Astyanax mexicanus: one gene and its partner. The protein of the gene in region 1 interacts with the protein of each later gene in a pairwise test. Links are inferred from orthologs where the notes say so. Each region holds a gene or a part of one and is shown on either strand. Other genes may lie near its edges. The genes, in order: zbtb25 and sephs1.

Region 1 (8,573 bases):
GTCCACGCGATCATTCTGAGCCCGCCTGTCTTCTGGTCCCCTGGCATCTCCAACACCATCTTCAGAGGGCCCCCCCTCCATCAAGCTGCTGATAGAGGGCTCCAGGGTGCAGGCAGCATGACTGAAAAGGTGTTCCTGCAAGCCCTCCGGTGACAGGCACCGCGCGCCACATCGAGGACACAGCAGTGCCAAAGGACCATCCTTGAAAAGAGCCATCTGACAAGGGCTGCCCCTGGCTGAGGGGAGCGAGCCAGACGCCTGGTGTTCCTCCTCCCCTTCTTCTTGCTCTTCCTCCTCTACCCTCTCCTGCTTGATCCTGGTTGAAATAGAATTTGAATCGTCACCCGACGCCACAGAGGAGACCCCGCGGAGGCTTCGGGATTGGCGATCCATTGGAAGTCCTTCAAGACCCACAGCAAGAGCAGGTCGGCCTGCAAGAGCACGCTCGGCCCGAGCACTGGAGCGACCATCTTCTGGATCTCGTGAGGTGCTGGCAGCCTTCAGGCCTGACGACTCTTTAGTGGTCAGCTGGGAGGAGATCTGGATGCCGTACAGGTTGGACATGCGAATGGCATCGGAGGAAGCGTCAGGACCGCCTTCACCTGCCTTCCGGCACAGCTGGTATGCATGAAGGAACTTGATGCCATCCTGCAGCCTGCTCTGATCCACAGGCTGCTTAGGGCCCATGCCTGTGTACATGATGTGCAACAGGTAGCTGAAGACATCTGGCTGGATATCAGTGGGCTGGATCTTTATGCACTCACTGAAAATTGGGAAACAATGGAATAAGCTTAGTCAATATACATATACTGCATTCTGCATTTTTTGTTTGGGATGCACTGATTAGGGGTGGGTAATATGGCCCTAAAATAATTTCAGTATTATTTGAGTATTTTTGCGATAATTATATTCTTGGCAATATGACAAAACAATCAATTAAAAAATTATTCAAGAAAACACTACTGCAATGAAAAGAATATTAAACTATATTTGTCCATATTATTGCATACATATGATATATCACATTCCTAACTGAGATTTTTACCAGATTGTAACAGAAGTCAATAATCCAAAATCTGCCATGATACTAATAATTCACTCCATATATCCAGGATTAAGGTACAATAAATAAAACTGCACAGATATAATCTCAAGTCTCTAGTAGATTTGTAATGGGAAACATGAACAGTGTGAATTTTCCTTTTTCTACAAACAGCAAAAACTTGCACCATGATGGCCCTAAAAAATATTAGAGTATTTCTACAATTTCTACAATATTTCTACATTCTACTACAATAATTAAAAATGTTGGTGATATAATTGTGTAAAATATGACATGGCACATCCCTAGCACTGAAATTGGAAGTGTAAGCCGTTGACCGATATTACATGTACGGGTGCAATGTCGGTCACTGTCAATTAGAAACAGGGGCAAAATGCACATTAATAGGTATAGTCTAGAGGATTACAAATGTATTAAAATGAACAAAATGCAGCCAATACTGATATACTGATATAATTCCAATATCATTGTGCATCTCTATAGAATTGAATTACAGTCCGGTCTTATCTGCAAGAGGCCAGGGCTGTGTTATGTGACTTCTTATTTTATTATTTGATTTCAAACAAATAATCGTGTACATCTACTTTGTTGTAATAAGAATCTGCAAGCACTCCAGCCATCTTCTTCATCTTAAAAATGTGCTCACTCCTAAAAGTTTATAAGGGAAACCCAATCCTGGTCCTAGAGATCTACCAAATTCAATGGTCCAAGTATTAAGGGTCTTTAGAGGCCTCGCAGTTTCAGAACCAGATGTTTTTTATCAGAACTCTCCAGTAGAGTAGTAAACTCTTTATGTCCAGGACTGGATAGACCTAGCTTATACCAAAAAGAGTATTTAAGAGATGGGCTAACCTGGACTGATGGATGAAGATCATCTTAAAGTAGTTGGAGAAGGCAGCCAGCACTGCTCGATGGGCTTTGAAGTATACATTGCCAATAGCTACGGTACAATCACACAGGAAACCAAACTCTCTTTGGACATTCAGTTGCTGGAGGAGGAACAGACTGTGGGTAGACACGTCCATGATGCCCCCTCTACTAGCCCAATGCCCTAAACACAAACAAACATATGATTAGGAACCGCATTAAGAAGAAATGATGGTAAAATTAGTGTAAAAAGTGGGCTCTACAAGGTTGGCCTGGGAAATTATTTAGTTTTGAATCAACCCTGGATACAGTCAGTAACTAAACACTGACCATTAATGTTGCATTAAAATTACAATATAACTAGTCCTGGTTACTCTGGCATAGTTCAATGCAGTGTGTGAATATGTGTCGTCTGTCCTCTTAGGATGCAGGATGACAAGACAACAATTGCTTAGACAAAAGAAAATATTAACCAAATCAGAGGCGTCAGAGGCCAAAACAAACACAGACACCCGTGACGGACTTAACAGTCCAAATAGGAATGTATTGGTTGAAGCAGTACTACAAAAGCTGCCGGTACTTTAACTCAGCATGTTTCCTTAATATCTGATGATACATCCTGATAATTTTATCATTTACTAATGAAAATATAATTCTTAATGGTCCTTTAAATTAATTGTTATTGAGTTGTTACATTAAATGTATTCCATCTTATCCATGTCTTCAGTGAAGGACTAAACTCAAAGCTTTAGTAATAATGAATTATATCTTATAGGAATATAGGCTATTTTTTGTGTTGTTTAATGATTTAAGGTGGAAAAGGCTGTTTTAAAATATTTAAAAATGAGGTCATATAAGGCACACAACTTTAATCTTTAATACAATGAAATTCAAGAAGACGGGATAAAGGGCGACCTCTGTTGTTGAGAGCTGGTCCTGCTTTTTTGTGCCCATTTTTTGGGGGAGACCTAGGCCAGATGTTTACATCTGGATGGGATTGTCCCAGCGACTCTGACGTCTAACGAGGCTACACGTCTGCGCTTGGCCTCGCATGAGCGCGTATCACTGGAAAAAGCGGTGAAACGGTGCAATCCGCAACTTACAGCTCTAGTGTTGCTCTATGTAAGTGACATGCCTGGCATATGATGATCCGTGGAGCTCGCGGCCGCATCTGTTGTGTGTGGTGGTGAAGTGGTGGTAGTGCTGGTGTCAGCCTGAGTTTCTTATAAAGGCTGTTGATCTGAGACAATGACAATGAGAGGCGGCACAAAAAAACGCACTTTACCCATCTTCGAATAGCGCTGTTAACTGCTGGAAGCGGCAAACAGCAGGGGAGACGAGTCGGTGCTGTCTGTAACCGAGCTCGATCCCCCCTTTGCCTCCCACCGCCAAGACAGCATCACATTCATTTTCACACGTCTGCTCTATAAGCAGTTGTCGAAGAAACGGAGGACTCGCCTGGCATGCACCTCCACACATCAAGCATGCACGCGCTCGCAGACAGACGAAACAGGCTGAAGAAAACGCAATCTTACCGCCTACGTGCGTGAGAACCGCTCGGCTCTATTAGTATTATTATGATTATTAGCTGGCGCGTGCTGCTGCAGGGACGCGCTCGTGCTGCTTCCTATGCGTCTGACGGACAGGCTCTGCTCGGGCTCTTCTGTCACGTGACCGTACATTAGCAGATGCAGACACAACGCATGGCGAGAGGCACGCATGCAAAAAAAAAGAAAAAAATGTAGCTTCCCCTACATAGCTAGCTTTAGCTGGCATGGTGGAGAATGATAGCTAGCTAGCATATCGTTCACTCAGCAAATCTCTTTACAGGAATTGTCCGTTCCACCTTAAATAGTGCACTTACTCTAGTCATGTTTAAGGTGGAACTGACTTATTCCTCACAAGAGAACTTAGCTACAAAGTCACACAACAAAGTTAGTTATAAACCTGTAGCTACAATTTAGTGAAGTTTTATCTTTGTTATCCCTCTTTCTTTTTCTGTTGCTTCTCCATTCTATATTTATACTTGTATTATATATCTATTGCCTATATATACTGACTCTGATATACTTTTATTGACTAATATATGCTTATTTATTTATCTATTCCAACTGGACACTTCAGCATGGCCACTATATATATATATATATATATATATATATATATATATATATATATATATATATATATATATATATATATAACCAGCTAATATAAAACGTTTTTTTTAGAATTAAATATATTATCATAATAATTTATTCGCAAAGTCCCCAAAGAGTAGATTGAATTGACATTCACGTTTTTAACGTTAATGCATTGAAAAACGTTGATCTCCGACGTCAGATTTGATTTATTTGAGCACATTGATTCAACATTGATTCAAAGTTATGGTTTTGTATGTACTGTTTGTTTTAAACTTTACTCACATTATAACTATAGTATGTACTGTGGTCTAGCAGGGTGAAATAGGACATTTAAATAATAATTACTAATATTAATATTATTAGCTTTCATCTAAAATCATTGTGAGTGTTTAAAACATTAAAGTGAACGTCGATTCAATGTCAGAATTTTAACATTAACCAATGTTTATTAAGCAATGGTGAATAAAGGCTGTTTTTAAGGTTGTTTTCCATCATCAACCTTAAAAGATGCAATGCAACAAAAAATAAATAAGGTTTATTCAATGTTCTTTGCCATCAGGGTCATGTTTTGTTTACCACAAAGTGAACTGGGACTTCATCGCTGTGGCTAATGTAGCTGTAACTACCTATATTTGCCCTAATGTTTATACAGGTTCTGTTTACAATGGTACTGTCATTCCATCTGTAATCTCCCCATCACTACTGCACTACTGTCTTGTGTCTTTTGTCCCATGTATGTCTATAAATGTGACCTTGTTGTATACATTTAGTGTCTCTCATTCTTTTATATTAATGTTTTTATCTTGCTGTACTTTTTGTAGCTTTGGGAAGGAGGGTAACGTAATTCAAAGGTTCAATCCTTTGTATGTCCTGTAAGTATGCAGTAATTAACAATATAACTACTTGGCTTGACTAGACTAATCCAGGTCATAGTATCTCTGCTTATAATGTATTTTACAGCCCAGTGTATCATATAGATTTTTATATATAATTTTTATTTTTCTAGCTTCTTAGTGTACTTGTGTGTATCTGTATGTAAGCTGCCGGGACACTCTCATCAAATAACGTAAGTTTAGTAAAGTGTTATCTGATCTGATTTTATATTATCAGGCTTATATGGGTCTTATCTTATTTTGTTCTGATACAGAAGTGAAATATAGTTAGATAGCTGGTTAGGAACAGGCAGGCCGTTCCCTCTATAGACTGTATACGTATATAAGTATTAATATACAGTCTGTGGTTCACTTCTCACTTTAGCACACACAGTTCATGTACGGTTGCAGTCTCACTGGCTGCCCCTGCGTGTTAGGGCGGGCTGCGTGTCTCTCTCTCTCTCTCTCTCTCTCTCTCTCTCTCTCTCTCTCTCTCTCTCTCGTATTTGCGTGTGCGTTTGCGTGCGCAAACTCGCGCAGCGGCTGTGCGGAAGTTCTTTCATCCCTCCTGCTCCTCCTGCTGCTGCTGCTGTAGAAGCGAGGGGGCGATTAGCTCTCTCTCTCTCTCTCTCTCTCTCTCCCCGTCCTCCCAACTTTCCTCCCGCCTCTCGGGCCAAGAACGCGGCGAGAGCCCGCGGCTCCGCGTCCCAGCTCCACTCCGTCGCTCGCCTCCGGTCGACGCGCGGGTGAGTATATCGTACCGCTGGCCTTCTGCGAGTGTAAACATTAGCTTTAGCTCCGAGAGCGCGAGCTCTTCCTCCTCCCAGTACCATTACGTGCGGGGGAAAGCAGCGTGGGGGCGGCGGGCGGGCGTGCGGGAGAGACACACACGCAGGCAGCGAGCGAGCGAGCCGCAGATCAGAGCTCCAGACCCGCCGCTTCACTGATCCCGTGTACCCGCTCGACCCCGCTCATGACCCCGACTCGACCGGGCCGGTGTTTCAGACACTTTCGGACGAGCGGAGTTTTGTTTTTTAGTTTTTTTTTTCAGTGCGTGATGATTGACAGCCACGACGCCCGCATGAGTCTGGCCCGGGAACGGACCAATCAGAGCGCGGGGGCGGGACTTCCACCTCCCAGTTTCAGCACAACAAAGAGAAAGTACAGTCAGAGTGCACTCTCTGTACACTCCTGTACACTCCTGAACTCAGGGCTTAATACACACAAACACCACGCTCCTCACCAGTGACAGAGACTTAAGGAGTTATTTAGCCTGTATTTACCGAACTATACCGTAATACAGAGTGTTAAACACAGTCAGAGTAGCTCTGATCTATACAGAGAGTACAGACTTTACAGTGTGTATAATCGTTCCTGTCACACACAAAGTATGTCACATACACGAAAGTTGAATTAATGTATTTATTTAGGCACATTAATTTACAACTTACAGCAGAATGGCTCTACTAATTATTAATTAACACTAGTTAGTACATACATATTTTAACTAATGTGTAAATTCATTACTGTTTATTCATTTTATTATTATAAATAATAATACTTATTAGTAAATGTTACCCATCTTTTTTGTTGTTGTTTTGAAAGAGGCAACATGTTTAAATATAGTTTTTTTTTTTGTGAGATTCTAGATGGGCAACCCCCTAAATGGGCTGTAAGTTTAATCAGCAAATTCTGTAAAGTTTGTCAGGAGGTTGTTTTGGTTAAAAAGGAAAGGGGTAGTTAGAAATGTGTGTGAAAATAGCAAGCTTGGTGTGAGTGTGAGTCACAACGTCAGTGTTTGAGAGTTGGCAGCCCTGATTATGTATGCAAGACAACTGTACAAATTGCAACTGAGGAAATACTATGCAAACAGGAGAATGAAAAACTTTTCCTTGTTATGTAAATATGTTTATATTTCTCTTGACTTATTCTAAATTAAAGTGAAGGCCAATAGTCAAATTCACATTCTGTAAAAAGGTGAAAACATATAGCCCTCACACCACAGAATTAGTTGTACTGCAGTGCTCTAATTTAATGTAAATCTCTAATGTAAACAAGTCCATAGCTCCCTAGCTTTCCCACTGTTAATCAGAAAGAATGTACATAGACTTATAGTCCATGTCTGTTATAATAAAGATTACTATTAAATACTAGTACTACTATTGTACTAAAATACTAGAAAACAAACAGAAAAGTTGATCGACTGCTTTTTAAGACTACATAGAAAGACTACAGTTTGCATGTAATTAAGTAACAAAAGAGATAACATAAAAAAACAGATCACAGCAGATCACACTGGATGGCAGATACTGTGCTTGCCCCATCCACACACATGCTGGATTTTTTTTTTTGCCTTGAGTCCTCATGAATACTAAATTTCAAGTGACTGAAAATTTGCTTTTCACTGTTTTTGTGTGGGTAAACAAAATAGCTTATAGAAAAGATGGAATTTTTTTTCTGATTCAATGTTTTAGCTCCACATGGTATTTAGATCTACACTTGATTTTTAAGGAAAACCTTAAAAATTCTTAAGGTCAAAAAATCAAACCTTGTGAAATGTTGGTGCTTTCTGCTGAATTTTATAGTTAGAGACAGAGTAAAAAGTTATGTTGTCTAAAATGTGTGGACAGGACCTCAGTCAGAGAAATATCATATTCAATTAGATTTATGCTTTTTTAAGTTATATTTAAGTGAAGAAAGTATGATACATTGAAAGAGAATTTAAAGTAATTTAATTTGGCAATTTCTTCCTCTATCGTATTGTCTTCAATGTATGTATATGTATTTGAAAGATTATTATACATGTAAGTTATCAAGTGAGCCAATTGTAAAAGCAAAAATATGCTGTATGTTATTCCATTCACTTTTGTACAAGTAATTTTGGTGAACTTCCCTTATTACTGTATATATATATATTTAATCATGGTGGTGTGTGTTTTTTCTTCTTTTTTTCTTTCTTTACAGTCCTCCATAGGTGATGGCAAGGCCAAGCCACAGTGAGCATGTTTTGCAGCAGCTTAACAACCAACGGGAGTGGGGTTTCCTGTGTGACTGCTGCATCACCATTGGTGACATTTATTTCCGAGCCCACAAGGCTGTGCTGGCGGCCTGCAGCTCCTACTTCAGGATGATGTTCATCCGAGACCAGCAGGGGACAGCGCGCCTGGATCTCAGCAACATGCAGATCAGCGCAGAGTGCTTTGACCTCATCTTGCAGCTCATGTACCTCGGCCGTATCATGGTTGGCCAATTTGAGTTTGAGGAACTGAAGTCCTCCATGGCTTATCTGCAGATGTACTACATCCCTGATTCTCTGGAGGATCTGCGAGACATCCGAACGCCCAACCTTACTCCTTCCTCTTCTGCCTCCTCATCATCATCCAGCTCCTCGTCCTCCTCCAGTGCAGCGGGAGGCAAGATGATGTTCGGCGTACGCATGTTTGAGCAGCGGAGGTCGAGCCCCGCAGAGAGCGAGCGTGTGCCCAAGGTCGCAAGCACACCCACTCGTCCGAACATTAACATCTCAACTGTGAGGCCTGTTGAAGATGTGGTCCTCACGCTTGCTCCAACACACTCTGATAATCTCGTGGAGCAGCCTTGTGATTTGAGAAAGAGGACCTCAGGCCG
Region 2 (9,256 bases), on another chromosome or scaffold:
TTTGTTCTATTGTACTGAACTGGATTTTGATTAGTTATACACATAAGTGATATTTACCATCATGTATGGGTCATCTACTATAGGGTAGATGTAATCTGTGGTTTGTACTAGTGAAAGCCCCCCGTGTCTCAAAGGAATAACACAGGTGTCCATTCCAATGCCTGTAATAGACACAAACACGCATATACACATACTTTAAATCAGAAGTTATCATTTAAAAATAAAGGTAGCAGCATGTTTTAAAAAGCCTGTTTAAATTAAATAAATAATACTGCTGAGTATATTTCAGCCATTTAGCTTCAAGACACACTACAAATAAGAGTGACAGCAGAATGCGACTATTCTATTAAGACTGAAAAAATACTGAAAAAAATATTTTACAAACCTAGTCTGGGCATAACTGCCCCGAGGAACTGCTCATCCTCCTGATAATGGTTCTCCTGCAAAGCCTCGAGAAGTTTCTGAAGGACATCCTGAGCAACTTTACAGCCAGTGCCTTTCAGTTCTGTGAAGCGTGTTAGCCTGAAGTTCTTATCCAGATCGTAACTCTCCGGGTTAAAAGCCTCCCGCACTGACATGGTTTAGATTTTACTGGAGCCCACACCAGTCAACACACTGAGGGATAGATTAAAATTTTATATTAGCTGCATCTTTACAATAAAATAAGTTCATATTAAAACACACACACACACAGAAAAGCCTGCAGATTAAATTAATAGGCACAGTGGCAATACTGTCAAGACAAAACTTTTGCCTTAATTTTTGTTCTTTTTTATTTATTTATTTATTTTACATTTAAACAAAATTTTAAATGTTATGTTTTACTGAGTGATTAACATTAACATAACAAAATTAATTTATTGTATTTTTTTTTCTTTAGCGAATAGTCCGCAGACCCCTTCAACCTTACATATAGCTTTTATATTAAACACGTTGCAAAAGCAACTTCCTTGTATTTCAGTTAAGAAACAGCATAAAACATGGAAATAACTGCCACATAAAAATACTTTTTTACTCTACTGAGATCTGACATACTCTCTAGAAGCTTTAATATGTACAGATTTCCACTATTCCATTTTAAAAATAGTGCACAACCCCATTGAACTTCACATGCAGCTTTTTTATTAAACATGGTGCAAACGTAACCCTGTATTTCAGTTAAGGCAAAGTGTATAAGTGTAGATAAAAGACTATTCTATCCTATAAAAGACAAGACAATCTACTGAGAATCTCTCTGGAAGCTTCTATTAAGACCATCGTCTCATTTTGAAAATCGCATTAAAACATAAACCTCCCAGCCCTAATATTTATATATAGTGATATATTTGTACAGTAGTGCTGCATTGTTTAATTACGCTAGATTCCACTCTTTATAAAGTCCTTTTACTTTGTCTAAAATACTTTTTACTTTTCCTGTATTTATATGTGTGTGCACTTAAAAACACACCCATACTAAAATCAGTGCCCAACTAAACTCCTCCATTCACCGAGCTGTTTATAGAGGAGTTTCCAGCACATCCTCCCCTTTAAAAACAGCGCACTAAGAGCGCGCGCACAACCACATCAGCTCAGCCACTGATCAGCAGCAGCGGCGGCTATAGGCCCGAGATTCCTACAGAGCAGCAGCTGCTGCAGCAGAAACAGCTCTAAAAGTTACTAACGGGGTTTATACGCGTCTTTAAAACCCGCTGCTGCTCATCTGCAGGTCTGATCCAGCGCAGCAGTGAAATACGGGGAGGCTAGATGTAGTAAAGTGGGCGGTGTTGCTCTGTTAGCTGCTGCAGCTGTTTGTAGCTCTGCTGCTCTCGCACCACCAGCTAATGCTACCAAAGAGCCTCTACAGAGAGGAGACTGCCCACTTCAGCACCTACCCCGGGCTTCTTTCACCACCAGAGGGGGTCCAAAATAAATGGGTTCATATGAAGCAATTGAGCAAAAGCAGAGTTTATAAATGTTTTATTTTATATACTGAAAATGTTCTCATTTTCTCAACACAGAATATTTATTTTTTAAAGCTTTTAAACTCAACCCGTCAGTTTAATGCAGACTTCTACTTCACTACACACCAAAAAAACAGGTATAATATAAGTAGTTTTTTGTACACTTTTCATAATTGTACCCTCAAAGGTATAATATTGATCTCTTAAGATGGTCAAGTACAAAGTGGGAAATGATGCAGCTTTCAGACCTTTTGTTATTTCAGCTCAGAAATCAATATTTGGTGTAATAACCCTGGTTTTTAAAAACTTTTTTTTTAAAAGTTGTCAATCATCTGTCTGACACACCTTGTTTTTAGATAACTTTATGCCACTCTGGTGCAAAAAATAAAGCAGCTCTTGATTATATTCCAGAAGTTTTTATTTTGGTAAAAATTAAAGAAACTTTTAGGTGAAATTAATTCAGTCTTTACTACGTCCTTTGCTGCTGCACTCTGCACATGTTAAGTTTACAGGTGTGTACACTGTGTAAAGTTGTCAGTTATCGTGCACTTGTGAGCTACTGTAACCAAACAAACTAAAAATCTGTACTATGCGTAATTGTAGCAGGTCCGCCTTCTTTGCTATTTTAGCACAAACTTTAGTTCTACCTTCTAATAATAAAGATATATTATAGACAATCAATTAATTACTATTTTTAATGTGCGTTTTAGCTTTTTAGCTCCATTCACACCCATTAATTTAGGTCTCACTTGCGGGCTCCCTCTAGCGGTTCGCAGTCATATAGACACAGTCTGATATAATGGGGGAACTAGCTAACCTAGCTCAGAAGTGGGCAGACTCTGTAAAAACAGCTTTGCTAATGCTACCCTGCAGCAAACAAACCTCCAAAATAGCCAACAAACACCTTCAATACTGCAGCTTTTCACCCCACACATACACTAAGCCGCGAATAAGCTCCATTAAACACGCGCCCGAGCTTTAGTTAGCGGGCTATTTTAGTATAGGCTGGTTTAAGCGTTTATAGTAAAATGTCGGCGGTGGAAAAAATTAACCCTTGCAGCGCCCAGCGCCATGAGAGGTGTGCTCCAACTAGGCATTAAAACCAGCGCTCAGACCCCGCTGCGCCCCTTTAGAGCCCACTAGACCCGCAGAAACCCGTAAACTAGGGCGTAAAGGAGCGCTCCCCGCGCTTTAAGCGCTGTGGCACACATGCATTCCCGCTACATTTCCCCTTTAATTCAGCAGCTCCGCTTCTCCTTACCGGTTTCGCTTTAGCGGCGCCTCCCGATACAGAGCCGCAGCAGGCCCGCCGCCACAGCGCCTTCTCACAGCTGCCCGCGCCGACCGCCTGCCTGAAAACACCGCGCCCAGGCCCGCGGCTCTCCCTCCCGGCCTCACAACCAGCGCTACACCTCCAGCTCAGCTCCGCGCCGAGCAGCAGAAATACAGCGGTAAATTACAGTAATAAACAGCGCGGTCTGCGGGAGCGGGATCCCACACTGACCCGCGTCCAACACAAAGGGTCCTGATCAGGCGCTGTGGCGCGATTACCTCCCCTTTAAAGAGGCTCCAAGAGAGCCAGAGAGTGAGTGAATGACTGACTGAACCCAAACACTGTACCTGTACACCTGAACCAAACACTGAACCTGTACATCTGAACCCAACACTGTATGAAACACTGTACCTGTACACCTGAACCAAACACTGTACCAAACACTGATCCTGTTCATCTGAACCAAACGCCGAACTTGTACATCTGAACCAAACTCTGTACCTGTACACCTGAACCAAACACTGTACCAAACATTGTACCGGTACACCTGAACCAAACACTGTACCAAACATTGTACTGGTACATCTGAACCAAACACTGTACCAAACACTGATCCTGTTCATCTTAACCAAACACTGTACCTGTACATATGAACCCAACACTGTACCAAACGCTGAACCTGTACATCTTAACCAAATACTGAAAAATGAAACACTGTCTCTGTGAATTTAAATCCAGCACTGAATCTGTACATATGAAACAAACACTGATAAATAAAACACTTTCTGCGTATTTGAACTCAACACTGAAAAACAAAACACTGAACCTGTACATCTGAACCCAACATTAAATCTGTACATCTGAACCAAACACTGAAAAACAAAACACTGAACCTGTACATCTGAACTCAAAACTGAACCTACACATCTGAACCCATCTAAATATTCAATTGTTAATTTTATTATTGTTTAAGCAAAAGTCATATTCACAAATGTGAATCGACTAATTCTACACTTCACACATTTATTGTGGTTGCCAACTAATGCATTAATCATCACTGCATTGTCTAAAAAGCTGTAAAAACCAGGGATGTATTAAATACTTTATTTAATGTGTTTTTGTAAATTGTGTATTCACTTAGATTTTTTCTTTTCTTCTGTATCTGTATAGTATCAATTTGGTTCCATATACTACACGGGGACAGTTTTCCAAACAGAGACTAATACTAGCCTTGGATTAGGCATAATCCCTGTCTGGGTAACCAACACACAATGTATATGTTCTAATTATTAAAAAAGACAGTCAATGTGAAGTAGATGCCAACAAACCATTATTATGATTTCATATTTTGTGGACTAAGTGGATTTGCAAATTAATAAGAACAGACGAGTTTTGTCAGCTGATTTTGTTTTTAGTTTTTAAGCAGAAACCCTAAATACCATGTATTTGTGTTCTGTTATAAGTGCCCTTGGAACAATAATATAGTATATGTATATGAAAATGTTCCTGCATGTGTGTTAAGGTATTTCACAATAAGGATTATTGTCTATTGTCAGATGTTTTATACAGGTACATAATTTAAAATAATTTAAAAAGTTTTTTTAATAAATAAACAGCAAAATGTGCAGATTTTGAAATATATTAAAATGTTTACATAAAAAAAAAAAAAAAAAAAAAAAATATATATATATATATATATATATATATATATATATATATATATATATATATATATATATATATATATATATATATATATTTCTGATTACTCCAGTACATATTATGGTAATGTTTTAAATGACCACTAAGACCAAATAAAGCACTGCATTTTATATACAATAATAAGACACACTTCAAACAGTTTAGGCTCTTTTTTCCTTTCTTACAGGTTTTAAACAATCGACATAGACAATCTGTGCATACAGTACAATAATCAGTCAAGCATTAAAAGCCAGTGAGGTAAAAATCCATGTGACTGAGACGAGGGACTTAATTCACTCAGTTGTGCACATTACACATACATATCCTCTTATACTGGGAGAGATTTAGCACATATCATAATCAGCTTATATGGTCACAGTACTGGTACATTGATTACTATGCGAGGAGAATAACATTAGGTACTGCTGATGTGGAAAATGGCACTATATATACATTTTACAATATACAGTGCTTTTGGAGAGGTATGGCAGAATGAGTTAAAGGCACACAATCATATTTTCTCAACATCAGAGCTTCACTTTGTCTCATGAAGCACTTGGAAGAGGTTAAGGAAGTACACACACACATTACTTCATATATTTAACTATAAAACAACAACAATCCAAGTCATTCACACACATTTTAAACCACCATACATAACAGGAAGCATCTGAAACAAAACAGAAAAACAGTTTTTAACAGTGTATTTAGAGCAGTCACAGAGTTAGGGAGGTTTCTGTTGTGAGATGAGCAAGCTCATTTAGTCCTTATCACCAGTTTCTACCATCTGAATTGTCCAGCCCTTTCATGAAGACAATCAAAAATACCTCAGACTTTAGACTGATTCACGCTGCCGTCCAGACTGATTCAGGACTTCTTCTGAAGCAAATGGAGGGGAGACTTTTAAGCATGTTTGTTTGCAGATTGATGCCCTCCTAGTGCATAATCTGCACCTATTATAGAAAAGAGGGAAATATACTGTATGTTAACACAACATTGCTCTTACACTGGATATATGGATACAAAATATATATATATATATATATATATATACATTAGATGTTCATTACCATTTAAACTCATCTGAGACTTCAGCCCATTCTCAGCAGTGAGTTGTGATTCACCTGGCATAAAAGAGATTATATAGGATATAAAGAGATAAATACATGAACATGCACTAGGAATAAAATATAAGAAACTGTAATAGCTAGATGGCACTGTTTCTCTGAAATACTCCCTTTAGTATCAACACAAAACTCTATCTCCACCCGCTCTCTGTATATACAGTGGCGTAAAAAGGCTTTTCCTCCTTCCAGAATTATTTTATTTTTGCATTTATGTCATACTTACATTGTTCTGGTTATTAAACAAACTTTGATATCAGACAAATATAAGTTGAGTAATATAAAAAGCACTTTGAAATGATATTAAAAAGTCTGAGAAAAAACTATTTAAACCAATCTAGCTCTTTGTAAAAAAGTGTTTGCTCCCCCCCCCAAAAAAATGTGATTATTAATTTAATTACCTGTAGAATTAAAAAAATACTTAAATAGAACCTGTCTGACAACATAAAGCAGTCATTCCACGATCTAAAGACATTCAAAAACAGATGAAAAAATGAATTGACATCTATCAGTCTGGAAAATGTTACAATGTCATTTCTAAGGCTTTGGGTATCTGGATGACCACAGTGAGAGCTAGTATTCACAAATGGAGAAGACATGGAACACTGGTAAACCTTCCCAGAAGTGGCTGGCCAACCAAAACTATTCCAAAAGGGCATGGACAACTCATCCAGGAGGTCACAAAAACCCCAGAAAAACATTTAAAGATCTGCGGGTCTGCCTCTGCGATATTCATAATTACCATTTGGACATGTAGTGCATTTGTCTACATTTAAATTCTTCATTTTTAAATAATATTTAAGTCTTTGTCATTTCAATTATTTTCATTCTAATTTATTATTATTATACAAATGCACCATTTTCATACTGTCCTAACCATCTTAGTGTTTATATTGACAAATTACGAGGATGGACAAGTAATGTGCTTCTATACCTGTTTTATCTGTAGGTGTCCTGTTGAGGGTCTCGTCACAGTCTGTATTTGTCTCTGCTGTACAACCATATACACACACAACCACACACGCGATTATGTAATAAACGATCACCAATCACATAGCTTTGTAGTACAGTATGTGGTCTGTAAACAAAAAAGGGTATACACCAACCTCTTTTTAAGCGCCGGCGAGCCAGTTTGATCTGGTCTTGAAGGATCTGGACCCAGTCTCGTGGACCAGGAAGCTTCTCAATTCTGTTAGCAGTGCAGTACTTTTCTGTGAACACTGCACTCAGACACAAACAGTCATAAAAATGTGTAAAACCATTAAATAAAATAAAACTTTCTCAAGATTAGGGTTATACAGCTCTGGAAAAAAAAGAGACCACTTAAAAATGACCAAAAATGACCAAATTGAAAATTGGAATATAATCAAGAGAAAGACGAATGACCACAAGCCATCAAACTAAGCTGAACTGCTTGAATTTTTTGCACCAGGAGTGGCATAAAGCTATCCAAAAAGCAGTGTGTAAGACTGGTGGAGGAGAACATGCCAAGATTAATGAAAACCAGGGTTATTTCAACAAATATTGATTTCTGAACTCTTAAAACGTTATGAATATGAACTTGTTTTCTTTGCATTATTTGAGGTCTGAAAGCTCTGCATCTTTTTTGTTATTTCAGCCATTTTTTTCATTTTCTGCAAATAAATGCTCTTAATGACAATATTTTTATTTGTAATTTGGGAGAAATGTCTGTAGTTTATAGAATAAAACAACAATGTTCATTTTACTCAAATATATACCTATAAATAGCTAAATCAGAGAAACTGATTCAGAAACTGAAGTGGTCTATTATTTTTTTCCAAAACTGTAGGTGTTTTATTGTATACTGGCACAGGCTGGTAAGTACTTTTTATGCAAATTTTACGCAAACATGACTTGAGTTAAGCAGTGTTACACAGTACTGGTGAGAGGCCCAATGCAGAATCACCAAAGATACATAGTGCAGCTAATACAATTATGATGCTGCTATTTTACGGTAAAATATTATACTGCTTAAATTACAACTTTCTAATATAATTGTCCATTGTCCAAAACATGTAATTAGGTGGTTTGTAAACAGAAGCTTCATGGCCTTCATGGTTTGCAAGAATCCTAAAACAGGTTATATTTGGGTCTTCATTCACTGATGTAAGGCTTATAGAACATACCAATTTGTAAAATTCTAAATTATGTTTCCATGAGTGGAAAATTCTTTATTTTATTTAAAAATGTTTATACGGTTTGTGGTACTGTATATTTTCAGAATTTATACCATTACAACAAACTCTTAGCTTGGTTTATTGCTGTCCACTCACCTTTGATGGCTCCCACTATGTTTTGGTCTAGTCCTTTTCTATGGTCATTCAGACCCCTCTTCCTCTTTCCATTGGGCAGTGAGTTAGCTAGCGTAGCATCATCGAAGAAGGCACACACCAGCTTCCTGAAGAGCAGACTGCCTGAGCGAGTGTAGTTCAGCAGGATGGAGTCCAACTGTGCCTTAGGGATGAACACTTCATAATCCTCCGCCAACTGCACCTCCGGCTGAGAGAGACAGACGGCTGAGATATTAATAAACATTATTGATACTCAATCTAATGTTCTTTACATAAGCAGCATACACACCATAACCCAAAGCACTTACACTCATATACATACATCCCAATACAACTGCCACTCTAATCACATTTACCTGATTCTCACATTCAGATACATTCAAGTCCATAGAAGTATTATTACCACATGCCTCAAAATACCAGACAGTATTACTTGAGCACCAGTTGGTATTACGTGAGCACCAGATAGTATTATGTGACCACCATAAAGTATTCGGAGAACATTAGATAGCATTAAGGTAGTACCAGATAATGTTAGATTAGCACTGGATATTGTGATGTGAGTACCAGACAGTATCAGGTAAGCACCAGATAGTATTATGTGAGCACCATATAGTATTGAGGTAGTACCAAATACTATATGGTACTCACATAATAGTATACATTAGTATTAGGAGTATTAGGAGAACACTAGCTAGGATTAGGTGAGCACCCGACAGTATTAGGTCTATGCGGTTAATGCGGTACCATATAAAATTAGATAATAACTAGATAATAGTGTGTGAATCCTAAAATTCTTATTAAGGGGGGCACAAAGACATAGCTTTCATAATAACTGAGTATTTAAATGTCAATAACATAATATTATTAACATGTTTGCTTCTATGGCCAGTAGTGTAAAAACAA

The links.
Region 2: the proteins of zbtb25 (region 1) and sephs1 interact in binary tests that used the Homo sapiens proteins (3 or more experiments, as listed by UniProt). The two-hybrid records come from large-scale screens. The link is inferred for Astyanax mexicanus from reciprocal best matches to the Homo sapiens genes ZBTB25 and SEPHS1.

Annotation. Positions count from the first base shown.
Region 1 is NC_064408.1:77,708,263-77,716,835, forward strand, and holds the start of zbtb25 (zinc finger and BTB domain-containing protein 25), read right to left. Parts: upstream 3,987-8,573; 5' UTR 3,466-3,986; intron 2,115-3,465; 5' UTR 2,089-2,114; coding exon 1,916-2,088; intron 764-1,915; coding exon 1-763. Other genes in the region: zbtb1 (zinc finger and BTB domain-containing protein 1), read left to right, coding at 7,924-8,573. UniProt on the Homo sapiens protein: May be involved in transcriptional regulation.
Region 2 is NC_064416.1:15,379,563-15,388,818, forward strand, and holds the start of sephs1 (selenide, water dikinase 1), read right to left. Parts: upstream 3,452-9,256; 5' UTR 3,202-3,451; intron 1,798-3,201; exon of another isoform or gene 1,662-1,797; intron 616-1,661; 5' UTR 579-615; coding exon 386-578; intron 162-385; coding exon 58-161; intron 1-57. Other genes in the region: bend7 (BEN domain-containing protein 7), read right to left, coding at 5,818-5,867, 5,985-6,038, 6,973-7,029, 7,145-7,258, 8,333-8,558. UniProt on the Homo sapiens protein: Synthesizes selenophosphate from selenide and ATP.